Caenorhabditis elegans: one gene and its partners. The protein of the gene in region 2 interacts with the protein of the main gene of each other region in a pairwise test. Each region holds a gene or a part of one and is shown on either strand. Other genes may lie near its edges.

The links.
Region 1: the proteins of tbx-33 (region 2) and odr-7 interact in a two-hybrid assay, tested with the Caenorhabditis elegans proteins (one large-scale study listed by BioGRID).
Region 3: the proteins of tbx-33 (region 2) and attf-4 interact in a two-hybrid assay, tested with the Caenorhabditis elegans proteins (one large-scale study listed by BioGRID).

The regions. Positions count from the first base shown.
Region 1 is NC_003284.9:12,457,110-12,464,229, forward strand, and holds odr-7 (Nuclear hormone receptor family member odr-7), read right to left. Parts: upstream 4,549-7,120; 5' UTR 4,531-4,548; coding exon 4,197-4,530; intron 3,647-4,196; coding exon 3,169-3,646; intron 3,120-3,168; coding exon 3,032-3,119; intron 2,987-3,031; coding exon 2,820-2,986; intron 2,314-2,819; coding exon 2,171-2,313; intron 2,124-2,170; coding exon 1,960-2,123; 3' UTR 1,870-1,959; downstream 1-1,869. Other genes in the region: T18D3.1 (WD repeat-containing protein 89), read left to right, coding at 1-528; T18D3.5 (uncharacterized protein), read left to right, coding at 6,709-6,803, 6,919-7,027, 7,077-7,120. UniProt on the Caenorhabditis elegans protein: Required for the function of one pair of chemosensory neurons called AWA neurons that are involved in chemotaxis to volatile odorants. Acts in a pathway that specifies olfactory neuronal fate.
Region 2 is NC_003281.10:11,631,625-11,639,693, forward strand, and holds tbx-33 (Putative T-box protein 33), read right to left. Parts: upstream 5,217-8,069; 5' UTR 5,202-5,216; coding exon 5,027-5,201; intron 4,898-5,026; coding exon 4,741-4,897; intron 4,057-4,740; coding exon 3,708-4,056; intron 3,440-3,707; coding exon 3,308-3,439; intron 2,232-3,307; coding exon 1,782-2,231; 3' UTR 1,592-1,781; downstream 1-1,591.
Region 3 is NC_003281.10:6,077,362-6,086,046, reverse strand, and holds attf-4 (AT hook-containing protein attf-4), read right to left. Parts: upstream 5,485-8,685; 5' UTR 5,472-5,484; coding exon 5,373-5,471; intron 3,883-5,372; coding exon 3,778-3,882; intron 3,257-3,777; coding exon 2,824-3,256; intron 2,775-2,823; coding exon 2,565-2,774; intron 2,422-2,564; coding exon 1,837-2,421; intron 1,775-1,836; coding exon 1,617-1,774; 3' UTR 1,299-1,616; downstream 1-1,298. Other genes in the region: ABC transporter ATP-binding protein/permease wht-1, read left to right, coding at 41-146, 190-321, 366-594, 653-806, 849-978, 1,173-1,289.

The DNA of each region.
Region 1 (7,120 bases), on a different chromosome or scaffold from region 2:
GATGACAACATTAACCACCACCGTCTGACACTGAACCGTGGCAATTTGGCAGAACTTAAAGACAAAGGTCTCGAGAAAGACGATGAAGCTATCTCCGAATCTGATGATTCCGAGTCGGATGATGGATCAAAGCCAAGTACATCTGCATCTGCATCAGTGTCTTCTTCTTCGAAACATAAGAAGGACAAACACGACATTCCATCAACTTCATCGGCAGCTTCTACTTCGTCATCTTCTTCATCCAAACATGAAACAAAAGAGGAGCGCAAAGCACGAAAGGAAAAGGAACGTGAACGAGCGGAAAAGAAGGCTAAGAAGGAGAAAGATGGTCATCGGGAGGAGGAAAAGCCCAAGAAGAAGGATAAAAAGCACGAAACTGAGGAGGAACGCGCGGAACGTAAGCGAAAGGAAAAGAAAGAAAAGGAGCGTCAGGAGAGAAAAGAGAAGGAACACGATGAGCAAAAGAAAAGACACCGCGACAATGAAGAGGGAGCTGGATCGAGCTCTAAACGGTCCAAAGCTCCATAGGCAATTCATAATTTTTGTTTTATATTTATTTATTTATTTATCACTTTCAACCCCAGTTCTTCTCCCAAAAGCCTTATCATTTTTCGCCCATTTAAATTAAGTTATAATTTATTGAAATTATAATATCATAGAACAAAATTTCGCTCATCCCAAGCATTTCTTTATTGATTTTTTGTTAAATTTACACCAGTCTTACTTTCAGTCTCGGATCTCCTTGCAACTATTGATCCCCATGATTCAAATTTATTGAGCATTCCTCAGACAGATCTACCTAAAAGTCTATTTTTTGTTGAATAAATTGCAATTGAAAAATGGGTAAAACTTTGAAATTAGTCTTAACCACTTATGTTGGAATAACACTTTACATTAAAATCTGAGTCTAACAATTATTAAGAAAAAAAATCTGAGTCTAACAATTATTATTATTATATTTAGTTTCATTTAACTTCCAATAACACCATTCTACCAGAGTGCTAGAGTGCTGCTATAGATGTTTGCCTTTATGTAAATGAACTCGATTAATAATGCAAAAAACTTATGGAGGTATGGGGAATTGAACCCCAGCCCTCTCCCATGCTAAGGGAGCGCTCTACCACTGAGCTATACCCCCAGATGACAACAGGTGTCAATTGGATGTTGAGATTCCCGGTAGAACATTCCACGGAATTTAGGTCTTTGCGATTGTCATCAACGACAGGGAAAACTATCGCAAGTCAACATATAGACAGGTTTTTCCGTATAAATTGCATCACAGCGCGCAATAAAGCAAATATAGAAAAGTATCTTTCAAATTGAGTACGAGTTTCTTATTCAATACTGTCATTGGTTGCTGTGTTCCTTCAAAATTTCAACTACACATGTTGTACAAAATAATTATTACAAAAGTAAGAAGATAATAGCATTCTCCGTTAGCCAAGTTGCAATGAAAATTAAATTAAACAGTATGTGCAAATGTTCATAAAAGAATTATAACCAAAAAGCAGTAATTGTAACCACGACGCCTAATATCTTTAAATTAGTTAATTACTGTTAAATGAAATTGGTTATATGATATCATTTAAAACAAAACTTGTTCTACACAGAAAACAAAAAAAATGTTTTCAAAATATTTGCCTCGTTATTCCAATTTTACATTTAAAAAATCAGATAATTATTTGATATTTATTTTCCTGACTTTAGAAAAACTTACTATTAAAACACTATCTAATTGAAAAAAAAACTATTGATTAGAAAAATAGTATGACTGATCAGATCGATGTTTCTTTTACATACTGGGGACCGTTTTTACTGTTTCAATACGTTTTATGAAAGAACTGCCTTAGCCCTTTCCAGATCGAAGTAAATTATTTTTTATTGAATCACATTGTGAGTATCGGTAATAATAGAACTGGAACTTATGCTTTGAGATCGGAAGATAAACAATTATCACGCTCAATTAGTTGTGTGACGAGGTGATTCACTTGAGGATACAGTGATCGGTTGAGCTGCTGATCCAGAAGGTTGGAATGAGGGGTAAAATCCGTTGAAGAAAGTGTCAAATGGAGTTTTACGAGGCGGGGATCCAGAATCTCGACGATTTCGCTTGTGCTGCACATCTGACATAAATTTGGTGAGCATTATGATTTGACAAAAAAAAACCAACTTTCTGGAAGCATTCCAATTTCCAGACATCGTTTCATTCGACAACTCCGACAAATCTTCCGATACCCAGTTCCATCGCGGCTTGCATTATTGCACCGTTGGTTCCTCTTACAGACATATCGTTTGTCATCGCTGATAGTTCTTCTGAAATTTTATGATGGGGTTTTTTAACTTAACAGTTTTCTGTGTAGCACACAGGCTTTATTGAGTCATACTGGTTTGAACTGAAGCATTGACAACGAAATAAAATTAAACAGTGTGTTTTAACATTTACAAGCATTCAAAACATCAAAACAAATCATCATCAAAAATGTAGTAGCGATAATTGTTTTAATATGATACTTTGAAAAAAGTTATAAGATGGTTTAAAGTCAGAAAAAAGTAATCCTTAAAGCTGCGAATATTACAAAAATTTTTGACGCGCTTGACAAATTGATTTTTGTTTCAATTCTGTTCATTTAACTACAAAACAATTAAAATTAACCTTCAATCGCTGCGACACGCAAAGTTTTTAAATCAAAGATTTCAGCTAAGCTTATCTAATATTTTAAAAAACCGTAAAATGTTTTTTTTTGAGACGTTTTCTAGAGTTCTCAAGTCTCAAACAGCAAAAGGCCATCTAAATACACTTGCATTATGAGCTTTCTTACCTGAAAAACGCAGCACATGCGGCGCATGTACGGGCTCCAAAGTGAAGCCCGTTAGCATGAGTTGACAAACACACTTGACAGTCATGCAAAGCACCCGGTGGCTGAAACTCCATTCTCTTTCCGCTAGCATCAAATTTTCTGTAATCAATGTGCCCGTCGATTGGTGGCTGAAATTTTTGGTGTTTAGATTTTGTTAATTGTGAAGAGATTACAGTTCTCATTTCTTGCTTGAAGTTTGTGCCCATGTCAAGTGGTGCCGGATAGAATTGTGGATGAAAAGGTAAAACGTCTTCTCGCATTCTAAACTTATCAGTTGATATTTTACAACTGTCTTTAAAAGTCGATCTACCTGGGCTGCTCAAATGATTTCTCCGCTAATAATGGAGGTGGAAATGTAAATTGTTGCGGTTGTTGTAGCTGTTGGTCTGATTTTTTGAGATTTTTTAGAGTTGAATCGTCTGAAGACTCCTGTTTAGGAACTGCTGTGAAATCTACATTTGCGTCAAATTTCAGTTCAGAATCGTATTTAACAGGGTATTCCACAGACAACACTGGTGGCTTATCCTGGATGTTTTCCGAACTGTGTTTGATTGTACTTTGAACCGTGTTTTCAATGTCCTTAGGTTTTGTAGAGTTTGTATTTGTTGAAAACGGGTGAGGAGCATGTGTCAAATTGAAACCATCCATGGTAGTCATTGAATTGTGCAATGGGAACGACTGTGCAAATGCTTGGCCTGTGAACTGAGATCCGAATGGATTAGGGAAGAATGCGTTTCGTTGGAAGCCATTAAAACGCTGGTACTCGGTAAAGTCTGGGAATTGAAGTCCTGAAATTCAAAAAATGAAGATCAGAAAATAAAGAAAAGATATATATCCAGAAACTTTTATCCTGAGCTGGGTAAGTATTTATTAATTTTCCCAAACTTAAAATATGACAGAGATTGCAGCTCTAGTTTGAAGTATTTCAAATGACCGACCATTTGCCGCATTTTCTCAAGAAACACTAGCAGCTTTATAACGAACCATACTATCTCGCAGCTTTTCTCCCAATTGTAGTATCTTTTAAATCATCTCCTACTTTAACCAACTTTACTCAACTTTTCTAAAGTTTGCAGTGGGCATTGCTAAAGTTGCTCAATTTTGGAATGGGCATTGCTAAAGTTGGTAGAGATTTTTCGGCAAATTGGTGAGTACTTTTAGCAATTACTTTTCGTTTTTTTTTTCAAATTATATGTAAACTGAGTGATAATGTACTGATCGATCCCACTTACAAAAAATTTCAGCCATACAATTACGAATTCTTGAAATTTTTTGACTTAAATGGAAATCAATAAAAAACGAATCACAGCCCTAGTTTTGTTCTGACAAACATCTCACCGATTCTTGGAAAGAAATGAGTCATGAACGGAGCCGTTTGTTGATGTGCAGCATCATTATCAAACTCTCCTGGATTTCCATCAGTCTGTTCACCACTTGGCCGGCCACCGAATGCAGGAGGAAAAGGGCCCCATGGCTGTTGAGGAACGTTGTTGTTCGGTTGCTCCAATTTATCCGTCATAGTCTTGATGAGTTCAGTTGAAATTCTAAAGTTTGGAAAAATGCCGGGTATGCATTGAAAGTGTGGAATCAACATTTGACATGCCATACAATATGAACCGTACATCAGTCCATACGAATAAATTAACAATCCCTCAGTGTCCGGTACTATCATTTTTGAAAGGAAATAGCTGTAATATATTGTAAAAAAATGTTGTTATGCCGTTTTCAAAAGAAAGAGTAAAACCAGAAGATGTCAGTGTTATTGAAATAATTTAACAAGACCTCCAGTGTCAATTTGATCAGAATGAACTTTTGTATCCAAATCTCAAAAGTGCATTCCAAAATAGATATCGTTTTAAAGATCTAACTGGTTCCCGATATCTCAAAACGCCGAGAATCTGTTAGATTATGCAAATTGTATCTACCGTAGCTCAATCAGAAACGGATTTTTGTGACAAACAAAATGGCCAAAATTTGTAGTCGAAGATACAAATGGTTTTAACATGTGAGTAAAATTTTTTAATTCGTTTGGTTTAGTTTTCAGAAAAATGATAAAGATTTTTTGAGAATTGAAAAAACACAAAGAATTCAAAGAAGGTTATGAAAAAAACGCTTTGATTTTAAAACAAAAATGAGAATGTTTAGTTTTATAAGGTAACCTTCATTTCCTTTGCTGTTTTAATAATAAATCGTCTTAAATATTACTGTTAACGGTGATGAAATGTATACTTAATAACTAAATCAGGTTTTCTGTTTAATGCTAAAAATGTTTTGTGGAGCATTTTAACACTGTTAGTAAGCTGATTTTGTGCGCGGTACAGGTATAATCATAACAGATCATAATAATTTTTCATGATCAAAAGTTGGATAGAAGAAGGGACGACTCAGAATTTGAGTTTACAAAATCAAAAAATTCTGAGCCATTACTTTACGATTAGGCTTTTTGGAATTAAGGTTGGGATGAGTCTATAAAGTTTGTATTAACCACACAAGTCTTCTAACACTTGGTAGTTTAAGAATTTCTAGCAGAAAATCTAACATCAACCTAGAAAGAGATGAACGAATATAAACTTGTTCGAACCATGAATGTGTCGATTTATATGATCTCGGAAGAAAAATGTAATATTTCGATACATTTTCTTGTATCTTCCTCCCTATTTGGTTACAATCCAGGATGCCATTTTGCAGTACGTATACTTCAATTCTTATAGTCACACAGACAAAAATTGGCATTTACACGGGCGCACAACAACAAGAGCAATCACAATAATTTGTGGACAAACACAAAATGTTGTACGAGCGGGGACGGTAGCGGACAATAAAGACAGAATGTTCAAAACTGACCGGAAGCTGACCAAACTGGATACACAGTTTTAGTATTGATTGGGATGGAAACTGATATTTTGTTATTCAATACAGCGGAAAATAGTGTAGGAGTCAAATTGGTGATAACTCGAAAACAATCGCAGAAGATGTGTGAAGAGGCGTGGCGAGCACCTACCGTAGGAATAAGGGGCTCAGTGAAGGTAACAACGTCATCTGCCAATCATGAAGTTTCTGAAATAAATTATTTCTAAATTTTACACATTGATTGATTAGAAATTATTAGACTTAACAATCGGAGGTGGTTTTTTTCCCGAAACTTGACATCACCAAACATTTCATAGACTACAACTTTGCACAATAAACTTTAATACCAACGTTTTTGAACATATCAGTTATTCTGATTTTTTATATATTTTTACGTGAACATATTTTTTGTCGGTAGTTTTATTTCACTAAATGCCAACAAGATAGTGACGACAACTTGGAAAATCATATTTATTTTTTGATTTAAATCTACAAAAATGTCAAATTTTAAAAATACTTCGAAACTGTTGGGAGACTTCTGGCAGTAATCAAAAAAAATTTAGCACACTGACAAGAAGGGCATCTAAGGTGTGGAATCAAATAAGCTAGTTTAAAATTATTTTTTTATTGCAATTTCGTTTTGAGTACTGTAAAAATTGTTATAAATAAATTTTGCATTTCAAAATATTTGTCAACTTCTGTTTACATCTTTCTGATTGAAAGTTAATATTCTTCAGCCAATATTGACAACCCTGAAGTAAGTTTTTTTAAGTTTACCAATTACTTTATCAATTAAAAAAAGTGCTTTACCGCATATTTTTGAAAGTTTGTATTCCATCTTTCGAAGTTCTATTTATTATAGCCTATAAAAATTAACAGCTTAACTTCAGTTGCCTATCAGTTATTTTCTTCAACAAATAAACAGTCAGAGACTATTTGCGGAAATGTCAAAATGGCGAAAGCTCAGCATTGTCCACATATCCTCGGTAGTTGATTTGAAATGAGAAAATTGTGCAATTGTCTCACCTGCCTGCTTATTATAATAATCCTTTCAATTACACTGGCTAACGCTCAAGATGAGCAGCACTCCCCTAGGTAATTCATTACATAAAATGTAATACATTTATACATTTAACTTTTCGTCAATGTTCTTTTGAACCAATATGTTCATAATTGTTTTCGAATAAATAAATTTTTGAATCTGTTCCAGAGAAAACGAAGCATCTCGTGACAACTCCGACGTTTGGCTCGTTGTAATTCTGTGTCTTTTATTCTGCTTCGCATTACGTCATATGAACGACTTTTACGTCGGTGAATCGGTTTGTTGAATCACTTTGTATCATCGAAAATTTCAACTCATATTTTCAGGTCACGTTGGTTGCAGAGGGAGAATTTTCTCATCGGTTCAGTCG
Region 2 (8,069 bases):
GTCCCACCACGAATTTTCAGGGTACTGTAGGGAGTAATCGTGGTGGGACCCAAAATGAACGGAACCTAGCCATGATTATATGCATATTAAAGCTCGTGACAATTTGACTTTGATTTTCACAAAAAAAAGTTGTTTAAACATTTTTTATTTTTTTGTGAGTCAAAAATTTCAATTGCAAAGTTTCGGTTACGGTAGGTTTTTTCGAAATATTCGTAAATTATTATTCAGGGAATCCTAGAAAAAATTAGATAATCTTTTTCCAAATCAAAATCGCATCTCGGAATGTTAAATCTACTTGTCAAGAGCTTTAATTCAAGTATAATAATTACTAGATTTGCTCCATGTTTGGTCCCGCCACGAAAACCTACAGTACCCCGGACTTCGTGGCGAGAACCAAATTTCCAAAAAAAAACAGAAACCCGTGGTTGTCACTAAAAACGTCTACACTTGCCTCATTATATCGTAATGTCGAGACTATTTAATTTGAGATAAAATCTAAACAAATTCCCGTTTCCCACCCCCTGTCTCCTTTGAAATTTTGATTTACGACTCCGATAAAAGGCGCAACGCAAAAAATATGTAGAATTTAGAAAAAAAGAAATTAAAATAAAAAAAAGAAATTTAAAATTCTAGAATAAAATTTTTAAAACTTCATGGGAAAAGCTTTCAAAAAGTCTTTGAAAAAAAATTTCAAAAAATTTTTTTTAGAATTTTTTTTTGTTATTTCAAAAAAATTTTTCACTCAATTTTCTTGATTTTTTTTAAACTTGCCCAAATCTATGCTTTAAATTCTGCACAAAAACATTTGTTTAAATTTTTGCTTCCAAAATTTTTAAAACCACGTACTAAAGAGTACTAAAAAAAGAAGAGTGACAAATTAAATGTTGACCTTCTAGAAAAGGAAGATGAGAGAAATGGAAATAAAAAGGGGAATGCTATCAGATTACATTAATCAAATTAACACCGATTGATATGGGGTTACGCCATGGCCTCCTTTTTTTAAATAATCGTGTCTGTTAGGATAGTGAGGTGGCCGAATTAAACAAATATATATATCGGTGGCCAAGTTTTTGAATTTCCCGCAAAAAATTGTTTTCTTAGAAAATTGTAATTTTCCGCCAAAATGTTTTCTAACACGTGGTGTCAGAGTATCTCATTTCGGCTTGATCTACGTAGATCTACAAAAAATGCGGGATAAGAGACGCAGACATCCCAACTGATTTCGCATGGTTAAGAGCTTGTTGACGTCACAATTTTTTGATCAAAAACTTCCCGCATTTTGTAGATCAAACCGTAATGGGACAGCCTGGCACCACGTGTTCTAAAAAAAATTAGAATTTTCCTCCAAAAAAATTTTTTCAGAAAATTTGAATCTCCCGCCAAATCTCTTTTCAGAAAATTTGAATTTCCCGCCAAAATTTTAAAAAAATTTTGATTTTATTACTTTCAAAACTTGAATATTGAAAGTTTTTTTTTTAATTTAGAGTTTCCAATTAAAATTTTTAGAAATTTTATACTTTTAATTAGACATCCCCAAAGTTTTAATTAAATTCTAATTTAATTTTTAAAATCAATTTAAATCCAAAAATCTATTCAAAAATGAAGTTTATTTTAAAAAAAAAAGCAACACGGGACGATGAAATTATTGAAGTTGGCTAGATAAAAACACTGAAATAAGAAAAAAGCGGAAAGAAAACGGTTATTCAACATAGAAATCGACAAGTTGCTTTTTTGACAACGTTTTTGAAGGAAAAAGTTAATAGTGAGATAATAATTAATAATTACATGTATTGGTTCATTTCAAGTTTAATCTGATTTTGAGAAGCCTCTGGTGACGTGGCTGTTGGCTGAAGTGGCGGTGATGATGTCGCAGAGTCGAATGAGCAAAATGAGTAGTCAGTTGACATTGAAGGAATCGGATTGTAGCACATTTGTTCTGGAGTTGATGACGTCACGTTGAAGGAACTGTACGCCGAGTCGAATGACGTGGAAGGTGTCATTGGAGCAAAGTTGCTGGATGGGGATGAGGTGCCGGGGTACTGCAGTGGAGCATGGAAATTGGTGCTTGGAGCAGTTGTGGAGACACTGGTGCAAATCATAGATGGTCTGAGGGATTCCAGCAAGGACTTGTTGGATGATCTCCATTGCTTTCCGACCTGAACGGCTTCCTGTTTGGCGTCTCCGCGAGAAGTTGGGTTGGCGGCTGTGCGCAAGGCTTTTACGATGTGGTTCTGGAAAATTATACAAATTATAGATAGGATTTAAAATAAATTGAAGCATAATTTTTTTTTTTTTGCTTTTTCGAAAATTTCAATGTTTTGTTTTTTTTTTGGTGTAAAATTATTTTTTGGTCCCAGCCTTGATCATGATGAAAATCAGAATTTTTTTGGTTAAATCTTTAAAAAAAAAAGAAGTTTTAAAAGACTAATTATCGAATTTTTTATCGACAAAAAATATGGAAACTGTAGAAAATTTGTTGATTATAAAAATGACCGGAAGTTATTGGAAATTTGTTTTTTTTTAAAGAAATTGTAAAAAAAAATTTTAAATAAAAAATTGTGAATCTTTCTAAAATTTTGTGGAATTTTTGTATCCATTTTTTAGAAAAAAAACAGTCCAAAAAATATTAAGGAAAACGAAAGAAATTCCGAAAATTTTTAAAATTGACTTTTTTCGGCAATACAAAAAAGCGAGAAAATTGTAGAAATTAGTAAGTATAAAATTTGTGAATTTTTTGAATATACGGCAATAACCGAAAAATATTGTAAATTTAAATTTTCCAAATTTAAAGATTTTTATTTTTCAAAAAATATTGAAAACTAGGAACTTGGCGATTTTTTTTTTAATTTTGTTCGTTTTTTTTTTAAATATTTTCAGCGGTTTTTTTTTTGAATTTGTTTGAAATTCTAAATAAATTTAGCAAACGCTGAATTTGTTCCATTGTTAGAAAGAAATTCAAAAATAAAGTAGCAACAATGTTTCAATTTGTAACATTTTTCAATTATTTTTTTATGACGATTTTATAGCTCAAATTCATCATCTTATATCTCAATAATTTTGAGCTGTATCAAAAAATTGTCAACTAGCAAAATGCTTATCATGTATTTTTCTATAACTTTGTAATTGAGCATTTGTTTTTATCTTGTAAACAAACAAAGATATAAGTTGGCAAAATTTTGGGATTTTTTGAAAATAATTTTTTATCGATTTTTTTCGAATTTTTTTGAAAGAAATTTTTTTCTCATAGCCAATTTTAATTACTAACTCTTCTAATTTTTTATCAAGCCTTATAGCCTTATAGTCTTACCTTGTATGAAGAAACTGTCGCAAATTGGGTAATCTCGTTCTCAAATTCCCCAACCAATCGAAGCTCTTGATTTGGTAGAATCTCGTTGATGATGAGTACCGGGATGTACTTGCACTCATTTGATACCTCGAGCTGCAAAAAATTTGAATTATTAGTTGTTAATGATTTAGGTTATTCTTAGGGTTAGGATTAGGCATAGGTTTAGGCTTAGGGTTAGGCTTAGGATAAAGCTTTGGCTCACGCTTAGGTTTAGGATTAGGTATAGGTTTAGGCTTAGGGTTAGGCTTAGGGTTAGGCTTAGGCTTTGGCTTTGGCTTAGGCCTAGGCTTAGGGTTCGGGTTAGGCTTTGAATCAGGCTTCGGCTTAAGATTACGCCCGCCCACATTTTGGCAGTACCTACCATGGAGGTCTTCTTCTTCGAATACTGAGTATCATACTCTCGTTTCTCTGCGTCACTCATCTCTTCATATGGAGTCACTTTCTTCTTATTATCACTTCCAATATTAAACACCTTCACATCTGATAAATCCAAGCCGGTACGCATGATATCTTGTCCAGTGAACTCTCCAACAAATACTTTTTCTGTTTTCATTGCAATAGTCTTCTTGCTCTGTACATTCTTCCGGGACCAGCTTCCATTTGAATATTGAATCTGATAGGGGACCATTCGGCGGAGCAAAATTTCCACTTTGTAGTTGGATTCTGGATTGAGATGCTCGACTTTGTAGTTGAGGGCTGGGAAGATTTTTCTGGAAAAAATTGGTTTTAAATAAAATTTAAAAAAAAAAAATAAATAAAATTTTGGCTGAAAATTTTGCAAATTTGTTCAGACAAAATTATCCGATATAACTTTAGAAACAAGAGAAAATTTTCAAAGTTAAAAAATTAATTTTCGATTTTTTTTCAGAGAAACTATTACATTTAAGATTTTTTTCCCGAAAAATAAAATTTTGGCGGAAAATTTTCAGATGAATTTTTAAATTTTTTATGAAATTTGATCCCTAAAAAAATAAGTAAACATTGAAATTCTTAGGACAAAAAAATTTTGCAGAAAATTTCGCCCTTTTTTGACTAAATTTTTAGATTAAAATTTTCCGAAAATTGTTTTTTAATAAAAACAAATGTTGGTTTACTTTTTTGAACGTTTGTTTTTGACTTTAAGATTTTCGGAAAATATAAGCAAATAATATGTTTCTTTGGAGAATTGTAAAAATTTAAAAATTATGAAAAAATATTTTTTTAAATCCTTTTTTACATTTTTAAAATTTCAAAAATTTTCCAAAAAAAAATTTTTGCCGAAAATTTTGCTCATTTTTTTCAGACGAAATTTTCAGGCAAAAAAAATTGAGCAATTTAAAAAAATTTTGTACATCAGATTCAGAAAATTTCAAAAATTTTGAAACTAAATAATATTTTTCACGAAAAATACTAACCTCCCATTATTAAGCACATTCTGCTCATTACTCAAATAATGAAGCTCCTTCCAGAGGTCCTGTGGGTCCTGCAAAGTGACCGTCACAATTTTTGGCTGATGTGCATACTGATTCTGGTAGGTGAATGGGTCCGAATATCCTCCTTGGAAATTTTGGTCTGAAATTTTTTTAAAATTTGAACCTGTTACTAATATATTGCTATTATAAAGTTACTATTTTGCCCGAAATTTACAAAACAAATTTTTTTTTCGATGCACCATGATTTCAAAAAAAAAATTAAACTTACGATATTGCTGAAACATCTGAATCTGCTGCTGCATATCCCATGGAGCTTGGAAGTTCTGCCCGTAACTCATTTTTTGGAATTGCTCCGGAGTTGGCATTGGGTACCCGTAACTCATCGGTGGAACATTTTCCTGATTCTGCATTTGATAGGCGTTTTGTTCGTTTTGATAATTCATCTTTGGGGATAAGTTCTGAAAATAAATATATATATATATATATATAAAATATTTAAATAAGGCCAAAACGTCAAAAAAAAAACGAAAATTAAGTTAGAAACAATCTTATAGTTAGTCTACACTCTTTTTTGCGGAAGGAGGAATAGAAGACAAGAGGGCCCATAAAAAGCGGGAAAATGGTAGGTCAAATCGGTGACGTGGCAGTCAAAAAGTGGAGATGTGCGGAGGAAAGGGGCCTGTTTATTTGACATTAGATTTGGAGAAAAATTAAGAGTATTCCAGATTAAAATAATTTTTTGAAAAAAATAAAAGTTCCAGGTTGGCTCAATTTCTGAAAATTTGAAAAAAAAATTCCGATTTTTTTTTTCGAAAATTCTGAAAAAAAAAATCATTTTACGCGAAATTTTGCAATTTACGCCCGATCTCGACATGAATTTTTTTGTCAAATTCAAAAAGGTGTGTGCTTTTAAAGACTACTGTAATTTTTATTTTCGGTAAAATTTATGAGTTTTTGTACTTAGTACATGTATTTTTTAATCGAAAGAACTAGGGTGAAAATTCCAACAAAAAAAATATTTGTCGTGTCGAGACCCGGAACCATGATTTTGGACGTTACAATTGGAAAACTCGGTAAATAAATGTTTTCTTGTAAAAACAATAGGTTTTTGTTTTTATAATTTAAAAAAATATAATAAATTTTGAAAAATGTTTGAAAAAAAAGAAAAAAAATTCTACTTTAGACATTGAAATGTTTAGAAAAGTAAAAAAATATAATGAATATTTAGCAAAAAAGCTAAATTTGATCTACCAGGACCACAACAAAAAACAAGAATGACTACTTTAATATTCCAGCCACCGAACCATCTATATCCACTGGGCGGAGCAGTAGGCTGTCAGGTAAGTAGGCGGAACTGGTATACTTGGTACCTATTGATTGGGAAGTTAGGGGTCACCTCTATTAGAAGAGCATGTCAGGGAAATTTGGTAAAAGAAGAGAGTAGGTAAAAGAGAGAAAGATACGGAAAAAGTATACCGAAAAAGTATACAAAAAAATGAAAAAAAAAAAAAAAAAAAAACGTAAAAGTAGCTACGTCGAAACTTAGCAAGTTACCATATTTTCGTGAATTCCAAAATAATTTTCGCAGGTCTTCCAAACACCCATGCCTACATTCATGCCTGCAGACCTACACTTGCCTACGGGCCTACGCCTGCCTACATACCTGCACGTGCCTGCGGATTTACGCATGCTTATAGGCCTAATGTCTATAAGCCTACAAACCTACTCCTGCCCACAACTCGAACTGACCTACCCCATCATACAGTCCTGAACCTGCTTATCTAAGCCGAAGCCTGCCAACAGACCTACGCCTACTTACTTACCTTTACAAGTGCCTACAAACCTGCAACTGCCTCAAGATCTACGCAAACTTAGAGACCGAATGCCTGCAGACCTACACTTTCCTATAGACTCAGGCCTGTCTACAAGCCTATGCATACCTGAGGGCCTTTGCGCCTGCCTGAAGGAATATGCATGCCTATTGACCTACGTTTTTTGCAAACCTACGCTCACCTACTAAAGCGCCTACAGCCGTAAATCTGCCTAGAGACTTTTTTTACATTGAAATGCGAAAAAAACCAATTCAAACGTATCTCCACAGTCGAAACTCCAAATTGCAGAAGATAGGTGGTAGGCAGGCACGTAGGCATAAATTAAAACGCACATTTTAGAATTTATAGCAGGAAAAATATATAAGAAATCAACCAAAAAAATCGTAAAACAAGACAAAGATATTCAGAACAACATCAACATCTCTCCACATGTTTACAATCAACTGTATACCCATTAGTATACACGGGGACTCTATACGGTTGTAAAATATATAGCTAGGTCAGTCAGTGGTGCACATGGTTTTGAGACACTGGAATATATCCAAATATCGATTCTTTGTCATTTCCGGAAAAAAAAACGTATAATGTTTTCAGTGAATTTTCCATCACAATTGAGGCCTGTAAAAGCGTTGTTTTTGCCGGTTTTAATTATTCTAAAGAGATTTTTAATTGACTTTTGAAATGCACAGTATTTTTTGAGTCAAAAATACATAGTTTCCAGAAAGTTCAAATAGTTATAAAATTATTACACGCCTTCAAAAATCCAATTGTACAAGCCTCGAAAATAATAATAAGCTCAGTTCAAAATTTAAGGGGTTGAGAGCAAGGCTGTGGCGCTTGAAATTTCGCAGTGTTATACCTTAATTGGGGTCTTTTAAATAGCTTTCCATGGTAGAATATACTTTTTTTTTGGAAAATTCTCGAGTTTGGCAATATCTTTTTAGGCACAATCATTTCCCTGGGAATTTTTGGAATTCCCCAATTTGACTAACTAGTACAATGTATGATATTTTTAATATTGAAAAGTATATCAATTCATGTATACTGTATACCTTTTGATAGGTTTTATAGCCATTACAGTTTTCTAAAAAATCATAGGTGCTTTAGGTCTTTATATTCCAGTCAAACATGAGAATTTTTAAATTCTTCACATTTTAAGGATTAATAAATAACTAGGGAGTTTTGTTTGGTGTCCAGAGAGTTATAGGTCGAAGGATATATTCCCTGAAAGCTGACACAAAAAAATTCCGAATTCAAAATAAAATCTTGCCAGAATCGCTTGGGTATTTAATCCAAAAAAGTACTATTTTTGAAGCTCTCGATCTCGATGAAAATTGGAGATAATAAAAAATAGTCAACTATTAAAATGCTTAAAATATTTTGATGTTTATAATGTTTTTAATCGCAATTGTATTTCCTATTTTCTTCTGTAGATATGAGCTTTTGAAAATTTAGTCGAAAGCTTCACATTTCAGTAAT
Region 3 (8,685 bases), 5.6 Mb from region 2:
ATTACTTCAATAGTATTACTTCGGAAATTTTTAATTTCAGCTACAATGCATCATTTTGGACACAATTTCTTGCTCTTTTTTGGAGATCTTGGCTGACAGTAATCCGGGATCCAAATCTGCTTTCTGTCAGGTTACTTCAAATTCTTGTAAGTGTGTCACTGCTTTATTACTATTTATATTGTTGTATAGATAACTGCATTTATAACTGGTATAGTATTCTTCCAAACTCCAGTCACACCTGCTACGATAATATCGATAAATGGAATAATGTTCAACCACATTCGAAATATGAACTTTATGCTTCAATTCCCAAATGTTCCGGTACCAGGCAGCCAATTAATTTCAGAATTTGAATTAATCTTCAGGTTATTACGGCAGAACTTCCAATTGTACTCCGAGAAAATGCAAATGGAGTGTATCGAACGAGTGCATATTTTCTTGCGAAAAACATTGCAGAACTCCCTCAATACATAATCCTTCCAATTCTATACAATACAATTGTCTACTGGATGTCTGGGCTCTATCCTAACTTCTGGAACTATTGCTTCGCGTCGCTGGTAACAATTTTGATTACAAACGTGGCAATTTCCATTTGTAAGCTGTGCTCAGTTTGACCTGTGAGATGACAGCTGCTTCATTCTTTTCTTTTCAGCTTACGCTGTCGCAACGATCTTTGCCAACACTGATGTAGCCATGACAATACTTCCAATCTTTGTAGTTCCAATTATGGCGTTTGGAGGATTCTTCATAACATTTGACGCCATTCCATCTTACTTTAAATGGCTCTCTTCGCTCTCTTATTTCAAGTAAACATGATGATTTGTGTTATATAATAACAAATCTTTTAGATACGGTTATGAAGCTCTCGCGATCAATGAATGGGATTCGATCAAAGTGATTCCGGAGTGTTTCAATAGTTCAATGACTGCGTTTGCGTTGGATAGCTGCCCAAAAAATGGGCATCAAGTTTTGGAATCGGTTAGTGTTTTGGATTATTAGAAATTAATTTAGGAACATTTAAAAAATCTGTTTCTCAGTGTTGGATTACTTAACCAAACTAAATCGTAGACTTTTTGGTGTTTATTTTCTGAACATCGAATAATGCTCAAAAGAAGTTTTTCACAACGAGGTGGAACTTTCATTGTTCAAGCTTTTATGGTTTAAAATTACAGATCGATTTCTCGGCTTCGCATAAAATTTTTGATATTTCAATTCTGTTTGGAATGTTCATCGGAATTCGCATAATTGCCTACGTGGCACTTCTCATCCGTTCCTATAATAATACTTGAAAAGGAAATATTTGATTGTATAATTTATTTGAATACTGTTAATTTGAATTTTGTTAACATATTTTGTTTTGTGAATGTTGATGCCGGAAAATTGGAAAATTGGAAAATCAAAAAAAAAAGCAAGTATAAAACATGTTGAAAGTGATGCCTATGTGTAGAAAATGATACATATAGGAAGAGGTGATGACAGGGAAAAAGTAGAAGTAATTGACAATAAGAATATATCGAAAAATACCCATAAAATCGGGTGGTCTGTTTTGAGATGAATGGAGGTTCAGTAGTAAAATGTTACAACAAGAAAATAAAACAAAAAAATGTTTTTAAAAATTATGCGTTCGGAGCAAAAAGAGCAGCCATGGATGGACCTGCTGCACCAATTTCACCGTCAATCAGTCCCGAGTTGTTGTCGTTTAGTTCGGCAAGGAAGTTGTTGAGGAATGGAAGATTGAGCTCTTTGATATTTATTATTTCGGGCATCGTGGAGGCTGAAAATTATAATTTTAGAGAAGGTTCAAGTGAAGTTGGACTAGAACCCGTGACAACTCACCTTCTTGTTTCACATTTAAATTTTCCTCATTCTGATGTCCATTTTTCGACTCTTGCTTCACTGTCTTCGTGGCTGTCGATGTCGTGGCAGTTGATGAAGAAGATGCTGGTGGAGATCCACCTTCCAATTGTTGATTCACCATCATCATATGCTGCGAAAAGATGTTCTGAGCCATCATATCAGCCATAAAATTGCCACCAGCCGGTATATTTGTCAAGTTTCGTCCCATATTCGACAGTGTTCCGGCTGGAAGTCCTAGCTCGATTTCCCGCTGTCGTTCCCCAATTCTCGACACCAACTTCATCGCCCAGGTGAGCTTCAGCTTTACATGACCTCCATGCTCTTCGAGAAGGCCTGGAGCTCTTTCGAGTATGTATTGACGAGCCATATGCAGGGCCTGAGATGCGGTGAAGTGGCCACCATGTGGATCTGAGTTCTTCAGGGAAACCATGTAGTCAACGAGATCAGCATCAAGTTCATCTCCGATAAGCTTTGGACGTCCGCGACCACGTCCACGTAAGAATCCAGGAGAACCTGTCGAGTGAGCAGCGTTTTGTGCATTCAGTTTGAGCATATCGACCATAGCTGAAAAATTAAAAATTAATTTGTTTTGCATTGATAAAAAATATAATTCAAGTACTGCTCTAATTACTTAAAGTTAGATTTCCTTCCCTTTAGCATAATTGAAATTGGCAAAAATTTAAGAAAAAACATGCGGATCTACTTACATTGAGTGAACAAGTTGGCTCCTGGAGTTGTTGGTGTAGCTGGTACGGTACTAGAATGCATGTGAGCCACCTCATTTGGAGCCTCAAGATGATCATCACCACTTCCTTCCGAGGAGGGTCCTGGTGAAGCTGTTGAAGTGTTGGCTGATACTGCATTGGAATTTGTAATCAGATTTGGGATGGACGACAATGGAGTTGGCGGGACCAAAGCTGAAAATTAGAGTTTCTAGATTGCGCTGTGGTTGTATAGTGAACTTACGATTCGAGCTCTCCTTTCTCTGATAATATGAAGCAACTGGTGGTGGGAATCCAACTTTCCGGCTCTGCTTTCTCGCTGGTTCTGAGAGTCTTTCGGTATGAATCTTGCCTCCACCTCCACCATTCGCCATCTGATAGCCTTGTCCAAGCTTCAGAGGCTTCAGTTCAATAGGTTTTGGATTTTCAGAGGTCTTATTTGCTGATGGTAGAAAAGATGATCCGTTCTGTTGATCCTTGTGAACAACTTGTGATGGCAACTTGTTCATTTTCGAGAGATCGAGGAGAGTCTTGAGTTGCTGATCAGAAGCATTAGGGAATAGCTGCGAGAGCACTGATGTATCATTCTTCTGCTCTTCAGCTCCAGGTTGGTTGACTTTGGAGCATGTTGTACACTTGCATTGTGGAGCATGAAGATGGTTCATGATAGAGGATAGCTGGAAACATACAGTTCAATGGGTCCATGTATATTTTAAATTTCATAACACCACGATAAAATTATATTTTTTTTCCATTTTTCCGCGTCAATAAATGTTGACATTTAATTTATTTTTGGATCATTCTACTATTTCCTCCCACAAAACACACTATTTGACGATCGCTGTCTTCACTTCTTCTTCTTCAATCTGCTTCCTCTGTCCGGTATGTATACGATGCGTGAGCCCCGAGACAGGGCGACAGAGGGAAAGAGAGATGGTCAAATGTAAACTTTGTGAATGAAAATGAAAATGAATTCCACGGGTGAAAAATCGAAAAAAATAGTATGTGTGACGGACGGTAAGCCTATTGTTGTGTCTAGTCGAGTTTTTTTTTGGAAATTTTCAAAATAAATACTAGACACCTATGACTTGTTGCATTACACATTGCACTTGTCGAAATTGTTGTGCAAATATATTTTTCTACTTCTTTCATTCTCGATTTAGAAAATAAAATAATTTATTAATAGTTTTTCACTCACCTGATGCTGAATGAATACAAAATTTGTCTCGAGCTTGCTGACACGATCCACTAAGTTCAGATCTTCATCCTCGTCCTTCTGATTCACATCGTCTTCCATGATCTCCTACAAATATTTCAGAATTAGAGAAGAGCTTAAGCTTGATCAATAAGAATTGCAAAAACTCATGTATCAGATATATTTATATTCGAGCAATTCGTGCAGCAACCTAACAAATACCAAATAAATTTAGAAAATTGGTCACAAATTCACTCAAATTGAGGGTTGTATGTATGTGGTGGCTGGGTGCTGCTGTGACAGGAGAGGGAGCGGGCTGCTGGCTCAACCACCACCTCGCCTTCCCCCCTGTCCGTTTTCCTTCTCAAAATAAATAAAAAAATATATAAATATTTGATTGAAAAAAAATGGAAAAGAAATAGTGCGGTTTTAGAAGAGCGCCATAAAAAATACGGAAAATCGAAAGAAATTGGGTTTTTTATGTTTGTAGGAAAAATGAATGATTTGAGAGCACAAATTGAAAGAAGGGGAGGAGGAAAAGTTCGCTTTTTCAACAAAAAAAACAGTCTGTTTGTTTGTTCGCGCACTTTTACGGAATTGTCGTGTGCTCCGCGAGCATCTAACAATCATCATTAAATTGAAATTTTCTGTTAATTCCTATCATTATCAAAGAAAAAGAAGAAGAATTTTTTTCATCTATAATTTTTCAATAATTTTAACGATTCCGATAACTGATAATATTTTCGCTACGTTTTATTTTCTATCGTGTAATGTGTAGATAATAAAATAATAAAATTCTTGTGGGGACAACGCAAAAAAAAACCAAAAGAAAATTGTGCTCTTTTTTTTATTTTGAAAAGGTTTTGTTAAACAGAAAAAAGGGAGAGAAAGAGCGGGAAAACAAAATATGTGTGGTTCCGAGTCCCACAGAGTCCCACAGCGGCAAATTTTATTTCAAAGTGAGCATAAAGGCAAAACTAAACCTTTTCCAAAAGCACTTCTAAATATGGAAAACGAAAAAAAATGTTTCATAAATTTTATATCGAAAAAAAAAGTTGTTTGCCTTCTGAATTAGCACATTTTCATCGCTCTCACTCTCACCTCAATTTTTTCAATACATATCGAAAAATATGTCTATTTCTCTTACATTTAACGAGCGAGGCAAAAATGTTGAAAAAAATGAAATTGCGAGTTTCTTCGAAATAAATAAAAAATCATCTTGAGATGTTTGAGGCAAAAAATAAACGAGAGAGAAATTGTGAAAATGAATGAGGGAGGCGGGCAAAACGAGTGCGAAAACAAGAGAAAAGATTGAGAAATGTGTAATATATGTATTTGCGTTACATCTTTGAAACTGCGAAATTTTTTTAGAACACAATTTTTTTGTTGTTAAAGTCTAGAAATTTTAGAGGTCGCCCATGTAGGTTTTCAGACATTCAAAAATTTTGAACCTCTCTCCAAGCTTAATGTATAGTTTTTAAATATGTAAGACATGGGAACAAGTTTGAAAAAAGACATACAGTAAAATTTTTTTATATGTCTTGTAATTTTTTATAGTGTTCTTTTTTCACATCAAAACGATGAAAATCCAAACTCACGTCAATGTTGGAAGGAGAAGCTGAACTACGATCTGTACTGACGGATCCTCTGAACTCTTCACCATTCGCATTCGGCGTTAAAGTTGGCGGTTGGAGCATCATCTGAGTTGATCTGAAATATTAAGTATAACATATTGATAATGCGTTTAAAAAATGAAATTAAATTTCGAGAAAGCGAAGAAGAATGATAAGAAATGTGAAAAAGTGAGGGAAAAAGTTTTCAACAAAAAAAATTTGTTTGAAAAAGTCATCAAAAATATTAAATTCTGCTCTCTCACTTGTCCCTCTCTTTCTATTTTCCCGTTTCACCCCAAAACATATATTTTTGATAAGATGTATTGCAAAACTCGAAAATAGTACTCGAATACGGGAGACACTTCTCTGAATCACATAAAAAATGCGAAATTCTTTTTTTATTTTTGTGGCTGGTAGTGGATGACGAGGACACCAGAAAGAGAGGGAGAGAGATACTTGAATTGCTGATTTCGCATTTTACAAATTTTTAAATTTTATTTTATTTTTCCGGTTGCGCAGTAAATAACAATTTAATTTCACATAAATTGTTTTCTAGGTGGGTTTTGCAGAAAAAGAGAGAGGGAAAGAGAAAATAATGAAAATTTTAGAAAAAATTTTAATTAAATTTGTGTAACAAAATAGGCGAGAATTGGGGAAGGCGTAATCGGGGGGAAAAGTTTTTTTTTTGAAAAATAAAGTTTCAAGGCGCACGCGCTGAAAATTTTAACTGGCCACGATTAACATAAAACGAATTTATAGACCTCCCACGGAGTGTGAAAAATGTAATTTTCTGCCAAAAATGTCAGAATCATATTGTATTCTGAAGACTAAACGAATTTTGAAATAAAATTTTCGAAAAGGCGTTTAAAAAAGGCGCGTCAAAATGTAGCTTTCAAAGTGACTACCCCAGAAGCCAAAAGTTCGTTATAAATTCAGAATATTAAAATATTTTTTGCCAATTTTTAGTTAGTTATAAATTTCCTAACTGGAATTGCAAAGAGAGTGCAGAGTCTAGCTTCTCAGCACCCTATTGAGCGAGAGCTTTTCGTTTCTTTGCTACCTCTGTTGGAAGTGTGGAGAGTCTTTAAATTATCATAACTTTGTGATGCTAGAAAAAAGTTATCAACTGACAAAATGCTGGAAAATATCAGCTGGCTTTTCAGTTGAATATTTTCCAGAAAATATTTTTGTTTGTAGATAATTGAATTTGAAATATTGCATGAAAAAAACAGTACCTTAAAAACCATGAAAATCCCAATTTTTAGGGTTGACAACTGGCCATAGCGAAAAATCTACAATTTAGAAATGTTCACTCAAAAGTCCCAAAAGAGTCGCCAACGTGACCATGAGTTGACCCTTCCCTAGTCAAAATCTCATTATACCGGTGGAAGGCAGATGTTGGTTGCACACATAGCACATTAGAATAAAATAAAACATGGAGTAAAACGAAATGTCCATCACCACTGTCCACCATCAAAAAACCAAAAAAAACGGAACAAAGGATGGTGTCTGTTTGGGTGTTGGGAGTAGAGGGGTCAAATGAAGAGAAAGAGAGAGCAGGTGGCGTTTTGTAAACGAGAGTTAGAGAGGAATAGAGAAATAGAGATAAAGAGGGCACCAAATGACACATTTTATTATTCTTAAAGGACGATGTCAAACCCGCCCATCGCCTGCCACCAACGGGCAAAATGGAAGAGAGGTTATGGAAAGCACAGAGGAAAGAGAGATAGGATTAAATTTTATTGTATGTTACAATATTGGAGTGGGAGAAAGAACATTTGAATTTGGAATTTTACTTTTTGGAAAATGGAAAATTTATAATTCTCAATTAAATTCGCCTATCAAGTCAACCGGGGTATATAGAGCTAAAAATAGGAAGAGAAAGAATGTTGCCACACGTAGTGGTCTAGAAATACTAGAACTCGGCAGCTCTTTTAAAAATAAAGATCTTGCATCCAGAAAACTGTAGATAAGGTTTGCTGAAAAAAATTAATTAGTTCCCGAAGTTTAGGTTTTTATATCATGTAGCAAAAAAGGATGCTCTGATCCTGGCCTACATAAGAAAAAATATCGCTGGCCGAAGTTTTGGTTTTTCTAGGCCAAACGTTCAAATTCACATTCTGAATTCAAACATCTTCATAAGCTTTCCCACTTGCTCCACTAAACCCCGCCCAAAAGTTTTCAATGTTTATATATTTAATCGCTGTTTCCTCTTTTTCCCCTACCACTCGTGAATGCAAAATAAAAATTTTCTTTTTCGAAATTTTTCATTCAATTTTAATGTGGGCCTCGGTCCCCCCGTTGTCTGACTGCCAAACATCTGCTCTTACTCTTACTCTCTCTCTCTCTCTGTCATTCAATTTCTATATATTTCAAAATTTCTTATGATTTGGAAATATATAAGAGAAAATGAGAGATCAAGTGATTTAAAGGAGACGCAGCGTAGTAAACGACTCCCCATTTCATTAATTCATTCAAACATTTTATGGACGCATTTTGGGTTGAAAGAGAAAGAGAGGCAAGGGTTTTGGACACACACATACACACGACAGAAGGCGATAACTAATAAATAAAAGAATGGGTTAAATTAATGGAAAAGAGCACAAAAGTGCATCCAATTTTAATATATTTTTCCAGAAATTTTGATTTTATGCATTTAAATTAATAATGCCAGAATTGGAGAGACTTGGAGTTTCAGAAGGAGGCTTTTGGCAATCGGGGATTCTTTATTTAATGAAACTTTTTAAAAATTAAGATATGAAGAAAATTGGAGGAGTCTAATCAGGATATTTTTATAAAAAACTAAAAAATAGGTCTATAATAAACATTAAAACATTGAAAATCAAATAAAACTTTTCTTCATCTTCACTCCCATAACCTCTCTCAAGGCCGGTGCGCCCGCAACCTCCTCATTCACATTTATTTACAATTTTCAGTTAAAAATTGTGTATTATTGTATTGCAGCATTGAATCAATTGAATAGATCAAAAACAGGTTTTTACCCTCCACCACTTTCCGCAGATTTTTTTCCCAAGTTTTTTTTTTGAAATTGAAAAATTCAATTTTCTAATTACACCCCTTTTGCCGTCCTACCAAATGAATGCCTTGACAGTTTTTGAAAAAGAAGTAGAAATAATTAAATTAAAAATATTTTGAATTTTAAATCTCAAATTTACAGAATGAAAAAAAAGCAATTACATTTTCCACAAAAAATGAAAATAAATAGAAATGTTTTCTCTCAAAATCGTAAAATGAGAAAAATGCGTCGAAGGGGGCGGGGTGCGGGCGAGTGGAAAAA